5 linked regions of the Oryctolagus cuniculus genome follow. The protein of the gene in region 3 purifies or fractionates together with the protein of the main gene of each other region. This does not show direct contact. Links are inferred from orthologs where the notes say so. Each region holds a gene or a part of one and is shown on either strand. Other genes may lie near its edges. The genes, in order: SIN3B, GATAD1, KDM5A, PHF12 and MORF4L1.

Evidence for each region.
Region 1: the proteins of KDM5A (region 3) and SIN3B purify together in Homo sapiens (affinity purification with mass spectrometry; 4 studies listed by BioGRID and IntAct, with this or other methods). This does not show direct contact. The link is inferred for Oryctolagus cuniculus from reciprocal best matches to the Homo sapiens genes KDM5A and SIN3B.
Region 2: the proteins of KDM5A (region 3) and GATAD1 purify together in Homo sapiens (affinity purification with mass spectrometry; 6 studies listed by BioGRID and IntAct, with this or other methods). This does not show direct contact. The link is inferred for Oryctolagus cuniculus from reciprocal best matches to the Homo sapiens genes KDM5A and GATAD1.
Region 4: the proteins of KDM5A (region 3) and PHF12 purify together in Homo sapiens (affinity purification with mass spectrometry; 3 studies listed by BioGRID and IntAct, with this or other methods). This does not show direct contact. The link is inferred for Oryctolagus cuniculus from reciprocal best matches to the Homo sapiens genes KDM5A and PHF12.
Region 5: the proteins of KDM5A (region 3) and MORF4L1 purify together in Homo sapiens (affinity purification with mass spectrometry; 5 studies listed by BioGRID and IntAct, counting the BioPlex papers as one, with this or other methods). This does not show direct contact. The link is inferred for Oryctolagus cuniculus from reciprocal best matches to the Homo sapiens genes KDM5A and MORF4L1.

The regions. Positions count from the first base shown.
Region 1 is NC_091447.1:65,102,351-65,106,293, forward strand, and holds the start of SIN3B (paired amphipathic helix protein Sin3b), read left to right. Parts: upstream 1-1,137; 5' UTR 1,138-1,184; coding exon 1,185-1,295; intron 1,296-1,537; coding exon 1,538-1,644; intron 1,645-2,654; coding exon 2,655-2,808; intron 2,809-3,943.
Region 2 is NC_091447.1:43,279,436-43,282,949, reverse strand, and holds part of GATAD1 (GATA zinc finger domain-containing protein 1), read right to left. Parts: intron 2,555-3,514; coding exon 2,371-2,554; intron 1-2,370. UniProt on the Homo sapiens protein: Component of some chromatin complex recruited to chromatin sites methylated 'Lys-4' of histone H3 (H3K4me), with a preference for trimethylated form (H3K4me3).
Region 3 is NC_091440.1:98,148,134-98,151,647, forward strand, and holds part of KDM5A (lysine-specific demethylase 5A), read right to left. Parts: intron 2,966-3,514; coding exon 2,784-2,965; intron 2,418-2,783; coding exon 2,293-2,417; intron 1,670-2,292; coding exon 1,519-1,669; intron 1-1,518. UniProt on the Homo sapiens protein: Histone demethylase that specifically demethylates 'Lys-4' of histone H3, thereby playing a central role in histone code. Does not demethylate histone H3 'Lys-9', H3 'Lys-27', H3 'Lys-36', H3 'Lys-79' or H4 'Lys-20'.
Region 4 is NC_091448.1:44,391,419-44,394,932, reverse strand, and holds part of PHF12 (PHD finger protein 12), read left to right. Parts: coding exon 1-782; intron 783-2,355; coding exon 2,356-2,481; intron 2,482-3,143; coding exon 3,144-3,287; intron 3,288-3,514.
Region 5 is NC_091443.1:105,842,917-105,846,985, forward strand, and holds the start of MORF4L1 (mortality factor 4-like protein 1), read right to left. Parts: upstream 2,813-4,069; 5' UTR 2,779-2,812; coding exon 2,739-2,778; intron 1-2,738. UniProt on the Homo sapiens protein: Component of the NuA4 histone acetyltransferase (HAT) complex which is involved in transcriptional activation of select genes principally by acetylation of nucleosomal histones H4 and H2A.

The sequences.
Region 1 (3,943 bases), on a different chromosome or scaffold from region 3:
TGGAGTCTCCCTCTTGGCTTTGACCTGGCCCAACCTGGGCTGGGGGGGTTGGGGGGGAATGAACCAGTGGATGTAAGATCTCCGTCTTTCAAATAGAAATACTAAAAAGTAAAAATAAAGCGGCCAGCGCTGTGGCGCAGTGGGTTAATGCCCTGGCCTGAAGCGCCAGCATCCCATATGGGCGCGGGTTCTAGTCCTGGCTGCTCCTTTTCCAATCCAGCTCTCTGCTGTGGCCTGGGAAAGCAGTAGAAAATGGTCCAAGTGCTTGGGCCCCTGCACCCATGTGGGAGAGCCGGTTGGAGCTCCTGGCTCCTGGCTTCAGATCAGCGCAGCTCTGGCCGTTGCGGCCAATTGGGGAGTGAATCAGCAGATGGAAGACCTCTCTCTCTCTCTTTCGCTCTGCCTCTCCTCTCTCTGTGTAACTCTTTCAAATAAATAAAGAAATCTTTAATAAAAATAAAAAGAGTCTAGTTTGGGTTGTGTTTTCTAGATGATGAGGGGACCAGGCTATTTTTTAAAGGATTATTTGGAAGCCAAAACGACAGGGTGGGGGCAGGGGGAAGAGAGAGAGAGAGGGAGAGGGAGGGAGAGAGGTGTCTTCCTTCTGCTGGTTCACTCCAAATGCCCACTCCTGACGCAAGTCCACAAGAGCACCGAGTTCGGGAACTCTGGTTTGGCGGCCCCGGAGCGGGTCCAGCTGCAAAATGATGGGGAGACGGGAAGTGGAGAGAGGAGGAAAGGGGCAAAGTCAAGGACCTTGTAGCCAAAACGGCCCCGAGCAGGCCCCGGGGTGCTTCAGGCCTGTACCCCAGGGTCACTTCAAGCCCTGCACAGCAGGGGAGCCACACACGTCTTCCATAGAGCCAGCAAGGGGGGGGTCCCCGTGGGCAGGGGTCGCGGCTGCTTTGCTGCTACTGGGCGAAAGCAGCCAGTGCTCGGGCCTGTGTTTCAATAAAACTTTATTTACAAACACAGAATTTTCTTCCATCAAGCGGGGCCTGACAAACGCTTAGCCCCTGCTCTGCTCTGTCAGTCAGCAGCCAGGACCTCCAACTTCCAGAACTACACCTGCCCCAGGGCCCCGCCCACTCCTCGACGTCATCGGCCCCGCCCCGGGGAGGAGCCGCGCGTGCGCGACCGGGGACTCAGCGGAGGCGGGGCGGGCTTCGGCTCTGACTTCCAACATGGCGCACGCGGGTGGCGGCAGCGGCGTCGGGGGCTCCGCGGGCCGAGGGCTGAGCGGCGCCCGCTGGGGTCGCTCGGGCTCCGCGGGCCACGAGAAGCTGCCCGTGCATGTGAGTGGCACCCCCTGCCTGCCTTCGGGGACCCCCGTCGCGCGGCCCCCGCGGCCTGCGCCCCCTCACCCCGGCCCCACCCGGCCCCGCTTCGGCCTCCCCTCTGCGCAGCCCGGGACTCCGGACCCCAGACCGACCCCTCGGAGGCGCAGCCCGCTGCCCTTGCTGCCCGGGACCCCGCCGTCCCGTGCCTTGCCCGCCCCCGCGACCCCTGCCCACCGGGACCCTCCCCGTTCCCGCAGGTCGAGGACGCGCTGACTTACCTGGACCAGGTGAAGATCCGTTTCGGCAGCGACCCTGCTACCTACAACGGCTTCCTGGAGATCATGAAGGAGTTCAAAAGCCAGAGGTACCCGGGACCCCCCATCCCCATCCCACCCCCCGCCGCGGGCTGGAATCGGGCCAAGCAGACTGGGGGACCCGGCTCCCCGGGCCGCCTCCCAGCGGGGTGACCTTGCACAAGGGGTTCATCTCCCGGGGCTTCGACCCCTCCAAAAAAAACCCAAAAAAAATTGGGGAAGGAGTTGTAGCCACGATTGGGGGGGGGTGCGAGGTTGGGGTCTCTTATTTTAAAATGCTGGTTTTGAAAAGTTCAGTTTGGTCCTCATTGGCTCCCGCTAGCCCCGGGGCTGCTCAGAAGTAAGGGGTACCAAAGGCTTAGGGAGGGACCTGCCACGCGCCCAGACTGTTGGGAACGCTGTCTTGGTAAGCTGGAGGTAGAGGGGGCCCAGACCCTCAGGTGTGTACTGTTTTCTTATTTATTCGCGTGAGAGAGAGAGCGCATGCGCGCGAGAGCGAGCGTCCATCCGCTGGGTCACTCCCCAAATGGCTGCAGCAGCCAGGGCTGGGCCAGGCTGGAGCCAGGAGCCGGGAGCTCCATCCGGGTCTCCCACGTGGGTGCAGGGACCCCCAAGTCTTCCTTCGCTGCGCCGGGGTCTGGAGTGGGGCTGCCATGTGGGATGCGGGCGGCGCAGGCCGTGGCCCGTGGGTCCTGTCCCCGCGACTCGCGGAAACCCGGCTGGACAGGTTTCCTTTCTGGGCCGCTCCTGCGGGGGCCCGGCACGGGGGGGGGGGGGGGGCTCTGCCCTGGCGTTCTTCCCGCGCCTCCCATACTTTGTCGCAATCCCGTTGCTCTGATGGGAGCCTGTGTCACAATCCGGTACCGTGGGGTTGAGCACGTGGCGTCCCCAGCCAGGCGGCGGGCCCTTCTGCTGTTCACGGAGTGCGTGGCCAGCAGCGTCTGGGGGAGCTGAGCCCCGAGACCCCTCTCCCTGGTCGCCCGAGGGGCGGGTTTGCAGGGGAGCGGAGGCGCGGGGCTCTTCCCCGGCCCACCGGCCGCCGTGTCTGCCCCTCCCGCAGCATCGACACCCCCGGAGTCATCAGGCGCGTGTCGCAGCTCTTCCACGAGCACCCCGACCTCATCGTGGGGTTCAACGCCTTCCTGCCGCTGGGGTACAGGATCGACATCCCCAAGAATGGCAAGCTGAATGTGCAGTCGCCCCCGTCAGGCCAGGTACGCGCGGGAGGGCGGGGCAGGTGGGGCGGGGCGGGCGGGTGGGCGTGGCCTTGGCCTGCTGCTGCCCAGGCGCGGCTCCCAGCACGCGATCAGAGTAGGCGGGGCCACCTCCACGCGCGTCCCTGGGCTCCTGACTGGTCTGTGTGGAAGATCTCGGGGCGGCGCCCTGCCGACACGGAATCTCACGTCAGAGCCGGAAACGCCACGTGAAGCCGTGGCGTGCGGCTTTCCCAAGCGTGCCAGGCAGGCTCGAGGGTGTGTGTGTGCACGCGCGCGTGCAAGCAGCTTTGCTTCGTTTAATTGCTCCTGGGGCACTGGCTCAGCTCAGGCTTGTTGGCCACGGCTCCTTCTGTCTCGGGGTGACAGCTGCCCGGTCTCCCAGCCCCTGGGACGCAACGAAGGGCCGCCTAGCTGCAGGTGCGGGAGGTGACCGAGGGCTTTGCCTGCACCTCCTGCTGTTGCCACCTGCGGCATCCCTGCCCCGCCCCCTCCCCAGTACTCCCCGCTGGTGTGAGGGAGCCGGCTCCGCCTCCGCCTCCAGCCCATGCCCCGCCCCGTCAGCGAGGGGCAGGTCTGGAAGCACCGGGTGGAGGCTGCAGAGGGGCCGATGTGTCCGGGAATCAGGACCTGGGCAGAGAGCAGCTCGCGGGGACGTGCCCGGGGCCAGCCCCTCCCCGTGCGTGCACGGCGCACGTGTAAACCCGGCTTGCCCACACAGCAGCACCGCCCCCTCGCCACTGAGGACTGAGCCGCGGCCTGCGTCTCCATGGGGAGAGGCTTGGAGGCGGGGCCGGGGCTTCAGGCCGCCAGAGCCTTAGCGGGTTCAGCTCCCCAGTGCGGGGCAGCAGCGTCGCCCGTGTCTGCATGCTCTGTACACACCGGGGCATCCCGGATGTCCCCACCCTCGCCCGCTCACAGCGCTCACCACCCCTAACCCCCTAAGTGGGGGGGTCACCCCACTTCCCCGGGCCAGGTCTCGGCAGGAGCCGCACCGGGAGGGTTACTGGGAGTGGGTGCCTCCCGGCAGTAGTCCCAGGGCCCCGCTGTCCCCCAGGGCTGCTGTCCAGATGACGAGAGCGGGCACGATCCTGTCCCCTCCCCAGGGGGTGGAGGTGACCAGAGCGCCCCCAGG
Region 2 (3,514 bases), on a different chromosome or scaffold from region 3:
CCTCCCAGTCTCCCATGCGGGTGCAGGGCCCAGGCACTTGGGCCATCCTCCACTGCCTTCCCGGGCCACAGCAGAGAGCTGGACTGGAAGAGGAGCAACCAGGACTAGAACCTGGTGCCCATATGGGATGCTGGCGCCACAGGAGGAGGATTAACCAGTGAGCCACAGCACTGGCCCCAGGATTAACTTCTAAAAATCTGAATACTGGGGCCTGCGCTGTGGTGCAGCAGGTTAAAGCCCTGGCCTGAAGCACCAGCATCCCATATGGGCACCAGTTCAAGTCCTGGCTTCTCCTCCACAATTTAGCTCTCTATTACAGCCTGGGAAAGCAGCAGAAGGTGGCCCAAGTCCTTGGGCCTCTGCACCCATGTAGGAGACCCAGAAGAGACTCCTGGCTCCTGGCTTCGGATCAGCTCAGCTCTGGCCGTTGCAGCCATCTGGGGAGTGAACCAGCGGATGGAAGACCTCTCCGTCTCTACCTCTCTCTATAACTCTTTCAAATAAATAATAAAATATTTTTTTTTATTTTATTTGACAGGTAGAGTTATAAACAGAGAGAGAGAGACAGAGGGAGGGAGGGAGGGAGGGAGGGAAATATCTTCCTTCTGTTGTTCACTCCCCAAATGGCTGCCACAGCCGGCACTGCGCCAATCTGAAGCCAGGAGCCAGGTGCTTCCTCCTGGTCTCCCATGCGGGTGCAGGGCCCAAGCACTTGGGCCATCCTTCATTGCCCTCCCAGGACACGGCAGAGAGCTGGACTGGAAAAGGAGCAACAGGGACTGGAACCCGGGGCCCACATGGGATGCTGGCACCGCAGGCAGAGGATTAACCAAGTGAGCCACGGCGCTGGCCCCCTAAAATAAATCTTAAAAAAAAATTTGAATACTTCCAAACTTGTATTAATCAGTAACTTTGTTTAAGTCTACATCAAAAACCATCGTCAGTCTCTTAGCAACCTTGAACTTCCTAAAAGTGCAGCAGCTGACATTTCAACTGTCAACAGCGATATGCTCCAAAAGGATATCTAGGATGACATGTGCCACATTCAGAGGGACACCTACGGACCCCCTGTAATATTTCAGAAATAACTGGAATAGTTCTTTCAAAAACTAATATTTTTTTAAAGTTTTTTTTTATTTATTTGAAAGGCAGAGTTAACAGAGAGGCAGAGGCAGAGACAGAGATGGAGAAGTCTTCCATACACTGGTTCGCTCCCCAGGTGGCTCCAACATGGGTTTAGGGGCCCAAGGACTTGGGTCATCCTCTACTGCTTTCCCAGGCCATAGCAGAGAGCTGGATCAGAAGTGGAACAGCCAAGACTTGAACTGGCACCCATATGGGATGCCAGCGCTGCAGGCGGCAGTTTTACCTGCTATGCCACAGCACCGGCCCCTTTAAAATTATTTTTGAATATATGTTTACAAGAAACTCAGACATCCTAGTTCCTCAGCAGTAAGTTCTTTCGGTACACCCGGCCACTCAGGAAAGTCCCGTCCACATCACTTCTGGGTAGGTGACGCTGCTCTGACTGGAACAGCTGATGGCCTCAAACCTCAGCTCCATTAAATGCCCCTCGCTCCTTCTGCACAGCCCTCTTTCTTTGTACTCAGTGATGCTCCCGCGTTTCTGTTGCTGGTGCCGACTGCTGTGTCCCCACACAAAATCCCGTGGGGAAGCCCTAATCCTCAACATGATGGCCTTTGGAGCTGGGACCTTCCAGGAGGTAACTAAGGTGAAACGAAGTCACAGGAGCAGGACCCTCATCTGACAGGAGCTCTCCCACAACGTGCACACACAGAGGAAACCCTAAGGGGACATGGCAACAAAGCATTCACCTACAGCCAGTGCTGTGGTACACTGACAAAGCCCAGCCTGCAGCGCCAGCATCTCAAATGGGCACTGGTTCGAGTCCTGGCTGCTCCACTTCTGAACCAGCTCCCTGCTAGCACACCTGGGAGAGCAGCAGAGGATGGCCCGGGGACCTGGGCCCCTGCACCCACACGGGCGACCCGGAAAAAGCTCCTGGCTTCTGATCAGCTCAGCTCCAGCCGTTGCAACCATCTGGGGAGTGACCCAGTATATGGAAGATCTCTCTGTCTCCACCTCTCTGTAACTCTTTCAAATAAATAAATTAAAAAAAAAAAAAAATCACCTATAAGCCAGGAGGGAAGCCTTCCCCAGAAACCAGCCCTGGCTGCACCTGGATCTTGAATTCCAGACTCCAGAACAGTGGAAAACCAAATTCCCACTGCTTAAGCCACCCAGTCTGTGGTATTTTGTCACAACTGCCCAAAAAAGACTAATGTACTCTTTCGTATAATACTGGAGACTTAGCCAAGTTCAAGAAGCTGTTCTGAGTGTCAAACTCACCTATGATATAGGATGCAGGATCAAACCGGTCTCTGGGGCTGGAGAGAGTGGGAATGAGCCACGTCAGAGCCGCACTCTTCTCGCAGTACTGGTCCTGGATGAAACCCCTGATCTGAGCGTAGTAGGGCTTTCCATCTTGCTCATCAATCACAGAAACCACGTCGCCAATTTGGTAATACACACCCTGGGAGAAAGAGGAGTATCCCATCACGGAAGAACAGCATCACAGCTCTGAATCAGTGAGGCCCGCCTTACCATCGAAGTTTAAAGTGGTCAACAAAAGGTCTTGGAGATGGTCCAGCGTCAATGTGTATATGCTTGAAACCAATTCTAAAATGATTTAAAGAAATCAGAAACAGATATGCAAGGCGTATGTGATCATCTGCATCTGGAACAGAGTTCATCCAAACAAGTGCTTTGACGCTGCATCACAGCAGTGCTGCCTTGAAGAAAAGCAGCCTTCATTTGCTGGGAGCAGTTTTAGGTTCACAGCAAGAGCAAACCCGAGGCACAGACTTCACACGCCCTCCACCGCCACCCTGCACATCCTCCTGCATCCCCAGCACCCTCCGTGGCGGCCAGAACGCCCGGCACATGGAGGAGCCCTCGCTGACAGCCACAGACCACGGCCGCGGGGAGGGCCACCCTGGGTGCTGGGCCGCCCCCACAGTGCCACAGTCATGGTGCTGCGGAAAGGCCGAGACCCGCTAAGGGCTCTGAGGGGGACACTGCAGCCGCAGCTCCTAGGTCAGCACCCTGGCCTCTCTGCGCTGCCCGGACACCAGCGCGTACCTCTGAGAACAGACCTGCACACCTCCCACCCCAACCACCTACTCCAAGGAAACAGATACCATTCAGTTCAAACCAAAGGAATGACAGAAACTCTTGCGACAGTAATATCTCCAGGACATGTTTACCCTCAACGTACTGTCCATTTCCTAAACTTGCTGCTGCCCGCCGCCTCTGCTCTCTGTGTTTCACATCACCCCACGCTGCAACTACTGGCATTTCTGCCATTCAAGGCCTTGTGTCTTATCCATGTTATATACAACTAACGCAGCTACACACATCCTGTGTTAATGCTTCCTACACCTCTGCCTTCCATTCACATCTTCTTCCCTGGCTCTTCAATCAAACAATCTCT
Region 3 (3,514 bases):
ATAAAACTTTAAAAAAAAATTTTATGGGGCCAGCACTGTGGCGTAACAGGTAAAGCCATTGCTTATAGTGCCAGCATCCCATATGGGCACAGGTTTGAGACCCGTTGCTCTACTTCCAATCCAGCTCTCTGCTATGGCTTGGGAAAGCAGTAGAAGATGGCCCAAGTTCTTGGGTCCCTGCACCCAAGAAGCTCCTGGCTCCTGGCTTCAGATTGGCGAAGTTCTAGCTTTTGGCGGCCAATTGGGGAGTGAACCAGCGGATAGAAAACCTCTCTCACTCTGTCTCTCCTTCTCTCTCTGTGTAACTCTTTCAAATAAATAAATGAAATCTTTTTTGAAAACGTTTAAAGAAAATTTATATAAACCTCAAGATTCAGGAATCATGTTTCAAAAATCTAATTTTAGAAGTCACTAAATGCATTCAGTGTAGAGATGAAGCCAGGCCATAAAATATATAGCTATTAATTAATTAATTAATTAATTTGGCTATATTGAAAATAAACTAAACTTCGTAGGCCTTACAAAATTATTTTCCCGCCTACCGCCAAGGGTTTGACCCACAGCCACTATACAAACTTCAATGTAATCAGCAGCACTGGGTCCAGCAGACCTGTCTACTATTGTCCTGCTACAGCAACTTACACTAACTTGAATTATAAAGAGCTTCTTGGGGCAGTGTTGTGACACAGTGGGTAAAGCCTCCAACAGTGACACTGGCATCCCATATGGGCGCTGGCTGGAGCCCCATCTGCTTCACTCCAAATCCAACTCCCAGCTAATGACCCAGGAAAAGCAGCAGAAGACAGCCCAAGTGCTGGAAGAAGCTCCTGGCTTTGGCCTGCCCCAGCCTCCACCACTGAGGCCATCTGGGGAGTAATCAGCAGATGGATGAGCTCTCTCTCTGACTTTCAAATAAATAAATAAATCTTTAGAAAAAAAATTAAAGAATATTTCACAGTTTCTGAGCACCTCTGCCCCCTAAAAAAGAAGAAAATAGCAGGTATATTTTGGGGGAATAGAAAGTCAAGGCCACAAGAAGTAAAAGATAATGTCAGATCTCACAGGTAACTTAAAATTCTGGCTTTTTGGGCCAGTGCTGTAGCATAGCAGGTAAAGTTGTCACCTGCAGTGCTGACATCCTATATGGGTGCAAGTTCGAGACCCAGCTGCTCCACTTCCAATCCAGCACTGTGCTACAGCTTGGGAAAGCAGTAGAAGATGGCCCAATTCCTTGGGCCCCTGCACCCACATGGGAGATTCGGACGAAGCTCCTGGCTCCTGGCTTCGGATTGGCTCAGCTCTGGCCATTGCGGCCAACTGGGTAATGAACCAGCAGATGGAAGATAGCGCTCCCTCTCTCCCTCTCTCTATGTGTAACTCTGATTTTCAAATAAATAAATAAACTTTTAAAAAATAAAAAATAAAGTCATTCTGCATACTTCTGACAGCTTTAAAAAAATTCTTTCACTCCAAAAGCAACAAAGAGCCAGTAGAAAATCAAACTTTTGTTACGCTTACCGGTGTTTCTGCTTTTTACTCAGGAGTAGCTGAGCCACAGAAGCACAGGTCTCAGCTTCTTTTACAGCATCCCTGAGTTTTCGAAAGAGCTCATTCTCTGGGTATTTCCTGTCCTCAGCATCTTCCAGCATTACTCGCAATTCAATCAAATCTGTAAAAATAAAAATACCATATACTGTGATCACAGAACAAAAGCCATTCTAAAATGTTCCCTAAACTCACTCAAGTGCGTTATCAACCTAATAGAAACCTACCACAGCTGTGCAATGAAAGCTGCTGACCAGGTGGGTGCTCGTTCCCTAATGCCTGTTCACAAACATAATAATCAAGTCTAGGGGCTGGCACTGTAGCATAACAGATTAAGCTGCCACCTACAACACAAGCATCCCACTGGTTCAATTCCTGGCTGCTCCACTTCTGATCCAGCTCACTGCTACTGGCCTGGGAAAAAGCAGCAGAACATGGCCCAAGTGCTTGGCCCCCTGTACCCATGTGGAAGAACTGGAAGAAGCTCCTGGCTCTTGGCTTTAGTCTGGCCCAGCCCTGGCCATTGTGACCATTTGGGGAGTGAACCAGTGCCTGGAAGACTGACCTCTGTCTCTCCCTCTCTATCTTTCAAATAAAAATAAGTAAACCTTTCAACAACAACAAATCAAGTCTATATTCAATCAACCCCTAGTCTCAATCCCAGAGGAAAAAATAACCCAAACTGAAAAAGACCTCTTTTAAAATGACATTCATTTCAACAAATTCATCCAAAAGGGGAAAAGTAACCTTTCTTGTGGTTGAAGTTAGCAGCTAATGCTTCTGTAACACGACTGACCCAGGTGTCATAGGACTGTGCCCTGACTTTCACACCATATAACAGAGAAGGGAGGTCTTCTAAAGGGTAACGATACCTATAAAAAAAAAAAAAAAAAAAAAAAACCAGAGATTAAATCCAATAACAACGTCAAAATAAGTTTCAAGTACAATCAGCTTAAGTACAATGGCCAGAGGAATAGGATCTTGATTTATATAAAATCAAAAAAGCCCACAATTTTAAACCAAAGGGAGATAAAGAACATATGAAATAAATAATAAGGAAACTACATTTTAGCTGCCAAGTATGGTCCAACTTTAAAGGACTAGTTCTCAAGCAGGGGAATTAGAGGAACAAACAGAAGGTATCAATCTAGAGACAGAGAAGGGAATAACCAACAACATCATTAACCAACAATATCATTAACAAGATAATGGAGGCCTTACAAGACACTTTTAGATACCTAAGACATTTCTTCTGCATGGGGCAGGGGCACAGATCAGTTGGATGGTAGAGACATACAAGCCGCTCAGGATTACAGGAGCATGTGAGAGCAGAGAGAAAACAGGTGGTTCTGCATGCTGAACACTGTCGTTCATCATCAGGAACAAGTTCAAACACCTCTTCTTCTGACATCAGGACACCCTGAAATATAATTTATGCCAGTAAATGAAATCTTTCTAATTTTTAAGGCATCAAAAATCTTGATTTTTATCTCTGTGGGCAAATTTCTGATTTAAGACATAAACATGAAAAGTACAATGGCACAACATGAAAATAATTTCTAAAAATAATCATTACTAGGGTGGGTGTAAGGGGCAGCAGGTTAGGGCCACTGTTTCCACGGCCCACATCCCAATCTAGAATGCCAATTCAAGTCCCAGCTACTCTGCTCCCAATCCAGCTTCTTGCTAATACACCCTGAGAGAAAGCAGATGATGGTTCAAGTGCGTGGGACCTTTTCACCCACATAGAAGATCTGCATGGAATTCCAGGCTGCGGACTTCGGCACGGCCCAGCCCTGGCAGCAGGGCATCTGGAGAGTGTACTGGGGGTGAAATTTCTGTTTCTTGTCACTCTGCTTTTTGACTAAATGAAAATAATTTTTTAAGATTTATTTATATATTTGAAAGTCAGAGTTACAAAGAAAGAGGAAAGGCAGAGAGAGAGAGAGGTCTTCCATCTGATGGTTCA
Region 4 (3,514 bases), on a different chromosome or scaffold from region 3:
TGTTGCGCTCCAGTGCAGCATATTGAAACATTTATCTGCTAAGCAGATGCCTTCGCATTGGGACTCTGAACAGACAGAGAAGGCTGATATTAAGCCTGTTATTGTGACTGACAGCTCAATCACCACTTCCCTGCAAACAGCTGACAAGGCACCTACAGCTTCCCACTACCCCTTGTCCTGCCCCTCAGGGTTTAGCACCCAGAACTCCCTGAGCTGCTCTCCACCCCACCAGCCCCCAGCCCTAGAGGACATCAGCTGCAGTTCTTGTGCGGAAAAATCCAAGAAAGCCCCTTGTGGGACTGCCAACGGGCCAGTGAACACAGAGGTGAAAGCCAATGGCCCTCACCTCTACAGCAGCCCCACTGATTCCACGGACCCCCGGCGACTTCCAGGCGCCAACACCCCCCTACCAGGCCTCTCACACCGGCAAAGCTGGCCTCGACCCCTCACGCCACCAGCGGCTGGGGGGCTTCAGAACCACACCGTCGGCATCATTGTGAAGACAGAGAATGCCACTGGCCCCAGCTCTTGCCCCCAGAGGAGTTTGGTTCCTGTCCCAAGCCTGCCCCCTTCCATTCCCAGCTCTTGTGCCAGCATTGAGAACACCAGCACTTTGCAAAGAAAGACTGTCCAATCACAGATAGGACCTCCGTTGACAGACTCAAGGCCACTGGGCTCACCCCCAAATGCCACCCGGGTGCTCACTCCCCCCCAAGCAGCAGGAGATGGTATCATGGCCACAGGAGCCAACCAACGATTCTGCTCACCAGCGCCATCATCAGGTGAGTGCTACTCAGTCTGGGGTGATTTTACATTCTTCCTGGCAAGACCTAAGATTCCAAAAGCATTTATACTGCTGTGACTATGTCACATGAATTTTTTTTTAATACTGATTTACTTAAAAGGCAGAGCATCAGAGAGAGAGGGCAAGGCAGAGAGAGCTTCCATCTGCTGGTTCACTCCCTAAAGGGCCACAACAGCCAGCTCTGGACCAGGCCAAAACCAGGAGCCAGAAATTCCATCCAGGTTTCCCACATGGGTGGCAGGGGCCTAAATACTTGGGCCGTCCTCCACCATCTTTCCAGGTGCATTAACAGGAAGCTGAATCAGAAGCAAAGTAGCTGGAATTCATGGAATTCAAACTAGCACTCTGATATGGAATGCCAGCATCACAAGTGGTGGCTTAACCCTGTGTGCCACAATGCTGGCTCTCATCACGGGATTTTGATCTCTGTATTGTTTGTTCTCCCCCCCACAGCCATTTGTGTAATAGAAAAGGAAGCATATTGTCAACCTGTCCCCGTTTTTATAGGTGGGACTGCTTAGGCTCTGAAAGCTTACATGATTTCCTTAATGGTGCCCAGTGGCCGGATTAGAACTGCAACCTGAGTCTCCTGACTCCTTCCCCCACTTTCCAGGCCTAGACTTCTGGCTGTTTCGTTTTGTTCTATCACCTTCAAAAACAGCATCATGCTATCTGGAACCACTGTGGTCTAGGTAATGGCCTCAGTGTTTCATGTTTCACACAAGACTAGAGCCATGCCTGGTAGAGATTTTGAGCCAGCTCATTTGAGGAACTTCCATGTCAGGGAAACTGGGACAGAAAGTATCACAGTGTTTTAGAGTAGCTTCAGAGTGGGATGCCCGTGGAGGTTGGTCTGGCTCAGAAGCTTGCTCTCAGGCTCCATGCTAAAGGGCATTCCCTTAAGTCTATACTTGGCCCAGTATGGACCTGCTTGCTCAGCTGCCCCTAGTCAGCACTCAGGAGCCCAAGGTTGCTGACCCCAGCATCTGAACCAGGTTTCAGATGCTGCTGGAACCCCCTGTGGTCTCTCCTGTCCGAACTGAAGCCGGCCTCCTAGTCAGCTGGGAGTCTCGGTAACCAGGTGACTGTGATTTCCCTGCATGGGGGCCCCTGGTCCCAGGATGGCCCTGCTCCCAGGCTGTTTTTCTGTCTCGGTTTACCTTTTCATATCAGCCTGGATAGCTTCTGCACGCTCTGAGTCGTACTTCAGTAGGTAGGAATTACAGAGGAAAGTACAACTTCCTTTAGAGGCAGCAGGGTGGTGGTCATGGCCCAGAAAATGAAGCTGCCCCACCACTTTCCCAAAGCAGTAGATCACAGTGGCTCTCAGTGCTCTGGAGACTGCTGCGTTCCCTGGGTGCATTGTCATTCCGTTTGCCCTTCCTCACCACACGTTTTTAGCTCTAGGAGTTCCAGAACCTATGGGTTGAGAATCAAGAAGGGAACATCACCTTTGGTCCGAAATCCAGACCTGTCTCAGCAGTGGGGGATTGGATCAGTGGGTTTCCCTCAGGCTACGTAAGTAACAAGTCTTCCTGCTCCGTCCCCAGATGGCAAGGTCAGCCCCGGCACGTTATCCATAGGAAGCGCTTTAACCGTACCCTCTTTCCCAGCCAACTCTACTGCCATGGTGGACCTCACCAACTCACTTCGAGCATTTATGGATGTCAATGGAGGTGAGTGCGTGAGCTGCTTCTGTTCTACCAACTGCTGGGGTGCAGGGGCCTTCCTTGTCCGACATTTGGCTCATTTCAGAGACAGAGAAAAGAAACAATGCCTGATCTCAGGGGACTAAGGTGTGGAGGGTGTGGAGTGCCCCTTTGGGTAGAGAATTGGAGTAAAAAAGCTAGCTCTGCCTTCTACACATGCATGTACCTGTAAAGACAAGGGAAAACAAGGCTGAGCTGAACCAGTGAGCCAAGAACAAAGTGACTTCAGCAGATCACCTGGCCTTCAGAGCAAAACTGGGAGCTTCCTCCTCGAAGTCAAGGAGTCATCAACCCCCAGAGTCAAGGAGAAAAGGCACAGATCCTGACCTCTGTGAACAGAGGGTAGATAGAAACCCAAGTCTCAAAACCAGACAACCAGGCTGTCCCCGTAGGTAGGCAAGTGGTTTATTTTGCTCTGCCTTTTTAGGACCACTTCACCCAAAGTTACTCTGCCCAAATACCCACATGCACATGGCGAGCTGCCTGGCTCTGCTTCCTTGAACCCCTCTATACTCGATGCTGTTTGACTGGATTTCAAAAATGCTGAACTTTTTGCTCTGTGACCCTTAACTACTTCCACATTCCATTTCCACCTCAGCTGCTTTTTAATCTTTTTCTTTGATTAATAGAAATCGAGATAAATATGCTGGACGAGAAGCTGATCAAGTTTCTGGCCTTGCAGAGAATACATCAGCTTTTCCCCTCCCGGGTCCAAGCTTCACCAGGCAGTGTCGGGACACATCCACTGGCTTCCGGAGGGCACCACACAGAAGGTGCGCATGCACACACCACACAGCACCACTGCACCACCAGCTCTCCCCTCTGTGTGTACAGCCACTTTACTTCCATGGAGAATCTCAGCTTCCAGTATCTCGCATCTCCTTGTGTGCTTTTAAAGGGCTTAGTAAAGCACTATGGCTTTTTTATTCTCCCTCAGAGCAGGAGTGAGATGGCAACCACAGCTTTTTCTGTTCAGTCTTGGGGAAGACATTTGAGACAC
Region 5 (4,069 bases), on a different chromosome or scaffold from region 3:
AAAACTCCAATCAAAGTGGAGACTGAGATACCAAGATCAGTGACTTTTCCAACAGCTTAGGGGTACAGATAAACTACACTGCTAACAAACAACAGCACCAAAGAGCTGATCTGTGAGCTCCCTGGTTCCACTTCCATGTACATTTTTAAGGTACCGCGAAAATGGCTTAATCTCTCCTCTCTTCTTTTCTTGATGGCTGCTGCCAAAAACTACCCTAAGGCTGATACCTTCTGACCTCCATTCTAGCTACCTGACCCTAGTATTCTGTTGAAATACCAGCTAGCTTAAGAGCATGACCCTGGATAACAAATCGTTGATTTTTCGCTGAAGTAGAAGAGCAGTAATTTGGAAACAGCAGGCCACCATATTTGGTAGGTTTTTCACACTATTCTCCACCATTAATCCTTTCTAGTCCCAAGGCGAATTCTGCTCAATGTTTTCAAATTCAAGATTAATGACAGTCCCGAGTTCCCATCCTCCCACTGGTTGTGCTCATTAAAAGCCACCATCAGCCAATTTCTTAATTCCTGACAGAACTGTCTCCCCTCAAAGGGGATAATGTCCAAGTGTCCGTTGCCCTGCGCTTTAACAGCTGCAAGTGGCCCAAGCCTGCGCGTTCATCATGCCTGAACACTGCTCGCTGCATTTTCATCTGCTTTGTGCTGACATTCTGTACCATGAGTAAACCTGGGTTCACACTACTCAGAAAAAAATCAAATTCTGGCAATTCCTACTTTTACCCATCACATTACATTCTCTTCTATAATGTTTCAATTCGGGTAGCACTGAACAAACATTTCTTCTTCCTTAACACGATATTCTCTGAATATTTTAGTTTTACAAAGAAAACTGTTAAATTCAGGTGTGAAGCAACAGAAAACTACCCAGCAAGCGCGGAGACCGCACCTGGGTACCTCGGTTCCATGTTCCTTCCTAGTATCACCCCACTCTACCATTCCTGTGGTTTAGAACCGAAACACGGGGGGAGGGGCAAGTGGCACAATGGGTAAAGCTGCGGCCTTCATGCTGTTCCACTTCCAAACCAGCTCCCTGCTATGGCACCTGGGAAAGCAGAAGATGGCCCAAGTGCCTGGGCCCCACACAACGTGGGAGACCCAGATGAAGCGCCTGGCCTGGGCTGGTGGGGCCATCTAGCGAGTGCACCAGCTCCATAACTCTTAAAAAAAAAAAAAAAAAAAGTGCTGCAGAGTTGTTCCTACATCGGAGCCTATAGTTTTTTCCATTTCTACAAACACGTAAAACAGGGTCTGTATCTTCCACACAAAGCTGGGATATAAAAAGTACACTGCTACAACGAGGCGTTCAGCTGTTGAGGGAGAGCGTTTCCATTAATATCCGCAATAGCTAGTTTCAGCCTTGATAGAAAAAAGTTTTGTGCCCCGCCAGGCTCACGGGCTTTCTGAACGACATCCATCGACCCCTGTTCTGAACACCTAGCAAAATCACGACTCCAGAGGACACAGCCACAGGCATCCCGGCGGGAGGCGGGAGGCGCTCATCACCCACAGTACCCCGGGACCCCGGGAGAGCCCTCTCACATCCCACTGAAGTCACGGCACACTGGGGCTCCGTCTTTAAAGTTCTCCTAGCTGCACGCATTCAACCTGAAAAGCCCCCACACAGGCCGCGCGCACGTCGGACAGGGCATCGGAGGTACTCAGCACCCATCTCCCTGGCACGAAAGGAAATGGGCAGTTCCTCCTCGCCCAGACCTCACCGGCCCGCGACCCGCGCAAACACAGACAGCCTCATACACACTCCACGGGCGCCGAAGGCCAGGGCCGCCATTCGCCCAAGTCGGCCGAAACGCTCGCCCATAAAAAAAAAAAAAAAAAAATCAATACAAATTCTCCGTCGAGTCACTTCATCAGGTTTTATGGCCGCGGGTCACCCACAGTCCGCGGCCGCACCAAAGCCCGTTTCTCTGCGCGGCACACGAGCCGCCGCACGGCGCACGCGCACCCCGGGCCCCGCCCCTGGGCGGAGCCAGCGATGCCCGCAGGCCACACAAAGCCGCCCCGAGCGCCCAGCTCGCTCCGGTCTTGTTTTTCTCCCCCTCCGCGCCCCCCACCCGCCGCTCCGAGGTGAGCGCGGGGCTCGGGCCTCCCCGCGCGGACGCCGAGCCAGGGGGCGCTGCGCCCGCCCCGCACCGGGGCCGCGGCCCACGCCGACGCCGGCGGCCATCTTGCGGCGGCCATTTTACAACGCAGTTCTCCCGCCCCGGGGCGCCGCGCCCATCCCCCACCCGCACCCCCACACCCCCCTCAGCCGCAGCTCCGCGTCCCGGCCCAACGCCGACCACCCCGGGGCTGCCGGCGGCCACGCTCCGCCGGCCGGTTCCCGCCACCGCGGCCGCGGGCCCGTCGCCCGCGCCGCCGCCGCCGCCTCCCCCACGCCACATCACTTCCCCTAACGGCCGCCATGGCGCGCCGCCGCCCCACAATGGGCTGCCTCGCCCGCGCCCTCCTCCTCCAAACAATAACAAACGCTCGGCCGAGGCTCTGCCCCGCGCCGGGCGCGCCTCCCGCCGCCCCGACGCCCGCCTCGGCGCCTCCGCCGCACAAAGCCCTTCCCCTCGGGCCGCCCGGGGCCACCGTGCGCAATGCGCTTCCCCGCACAAAGCTCAGCCCCCCGCCCCGGCCCGCGGGCCGCCACCACCCCGCGCCGCCTGCCTCCCCGGGCCGTTAGGCGCCTTCCCCTCAAAGGCGCACACTTACCCTCCTGGAATTTAGGCTTTGGGTCCTGCTTGGGCGCCATTTATAAGTGATTCGCCGCCTCCTCCTTCTCCCACCACCCCCGACTACCGCCCCCTACTCTCTACCCCACCCAACTCAGCGTCAGACGCGCCGTCAGGAACCGCCGGCTCTACATCCTGGGCCCGATTTGCCAGCGTCCGCACACCTCACCGCCCCGCGACCCGCGCAGGCGTCGCGCCAGCCAACTGCCGGCCGCCGCGCACGCGCCGCTGCGCCCGCGCCGCCGCGGGGCATGCCGGGACTTGTAGTTCCGGCGGGGCGGGCGCCGCCGCGGGGCGGGGGCGGGAACGAGGCGCCCCTCCCCCACCCGGCGTGGGCGCCCGCGCGCCGTCGGCGCGGGTGGCTCACGGCTGGGGCTGGTTTTGTGGGTTGTGAGAGCTGGGATTGCGGTTCGGGGGGCCAGCCGCGGGGGAAGAGTGGGAATCGCACTGCTTGCGGAGTTCCCCTCAGCAAAGCCAAGGCCGCAAAGATGAGGGGTACCCGGGGCTCGGGAAATGGTCGACGTCTGGAAGCTTCCTGGTGGGGCAGGGTCGTGGCCGGCTTGTTGGGTGGACGGGACCGAGGGCCATTGTTGGACTCCCGTTTCTACCTTCGCTGCTCGCCGGGCCGCGGCCTGCGGAACTAAGGAGGGAGACGCAGGGCGGGGGTGGGGGGCTGGTGGTCTTGGGCGGAGCGCTTAGCCAAGCGCTTAGCCGGGGGCTCAGGTCCCCGCAGCGGCCCCCAGCCCACCCGCCGTGCAAGGTTTGCAAATCCTCCGCGCGCCAATTCTGGACGCAGCGCCATTGCTGTGACTCCAGCCTCCATGTAACAGCCCCTGCTTTTACCTGCGACAACCCAGAAGGTGTCTTCCTCGTTCGCTCTGAACCAACACCAGCTCAGCTTTCCTCCACTGCCCCTGAGGGCACGGACGGAAGCAGCGAGGGCTCTCCATGGCCCCAGCCCCACCAAAACTAGACCCTATAGGACTTTTTAAAAAACATTGTTTACAATATAAAGTACTTATATATTGGGGTTTTTTTAAAGATTTATTTATTTGAAAGGCAGAGTTAGAGAGGTGGAGAGAGAGAGAGAGAGCTTCCACCCGCTGGTTCCCTCCCCAATTGGCCACAACAGCCAAGAGCTGGACTGATCCGAAGCCAGGAGCCAGGAGCTTCTTCCAGGTCTCCCACGTGGGTGCAGGGGCCCAAGCACTTGGGCCATCTTCTACTGCTTTCCCAGGCCAGAGCAGAGAGCTGGACCGGAAGTGGAGCAGCGGGGTCTCGCCCATGTGGGATGCCAGTGCCCCCTACGCT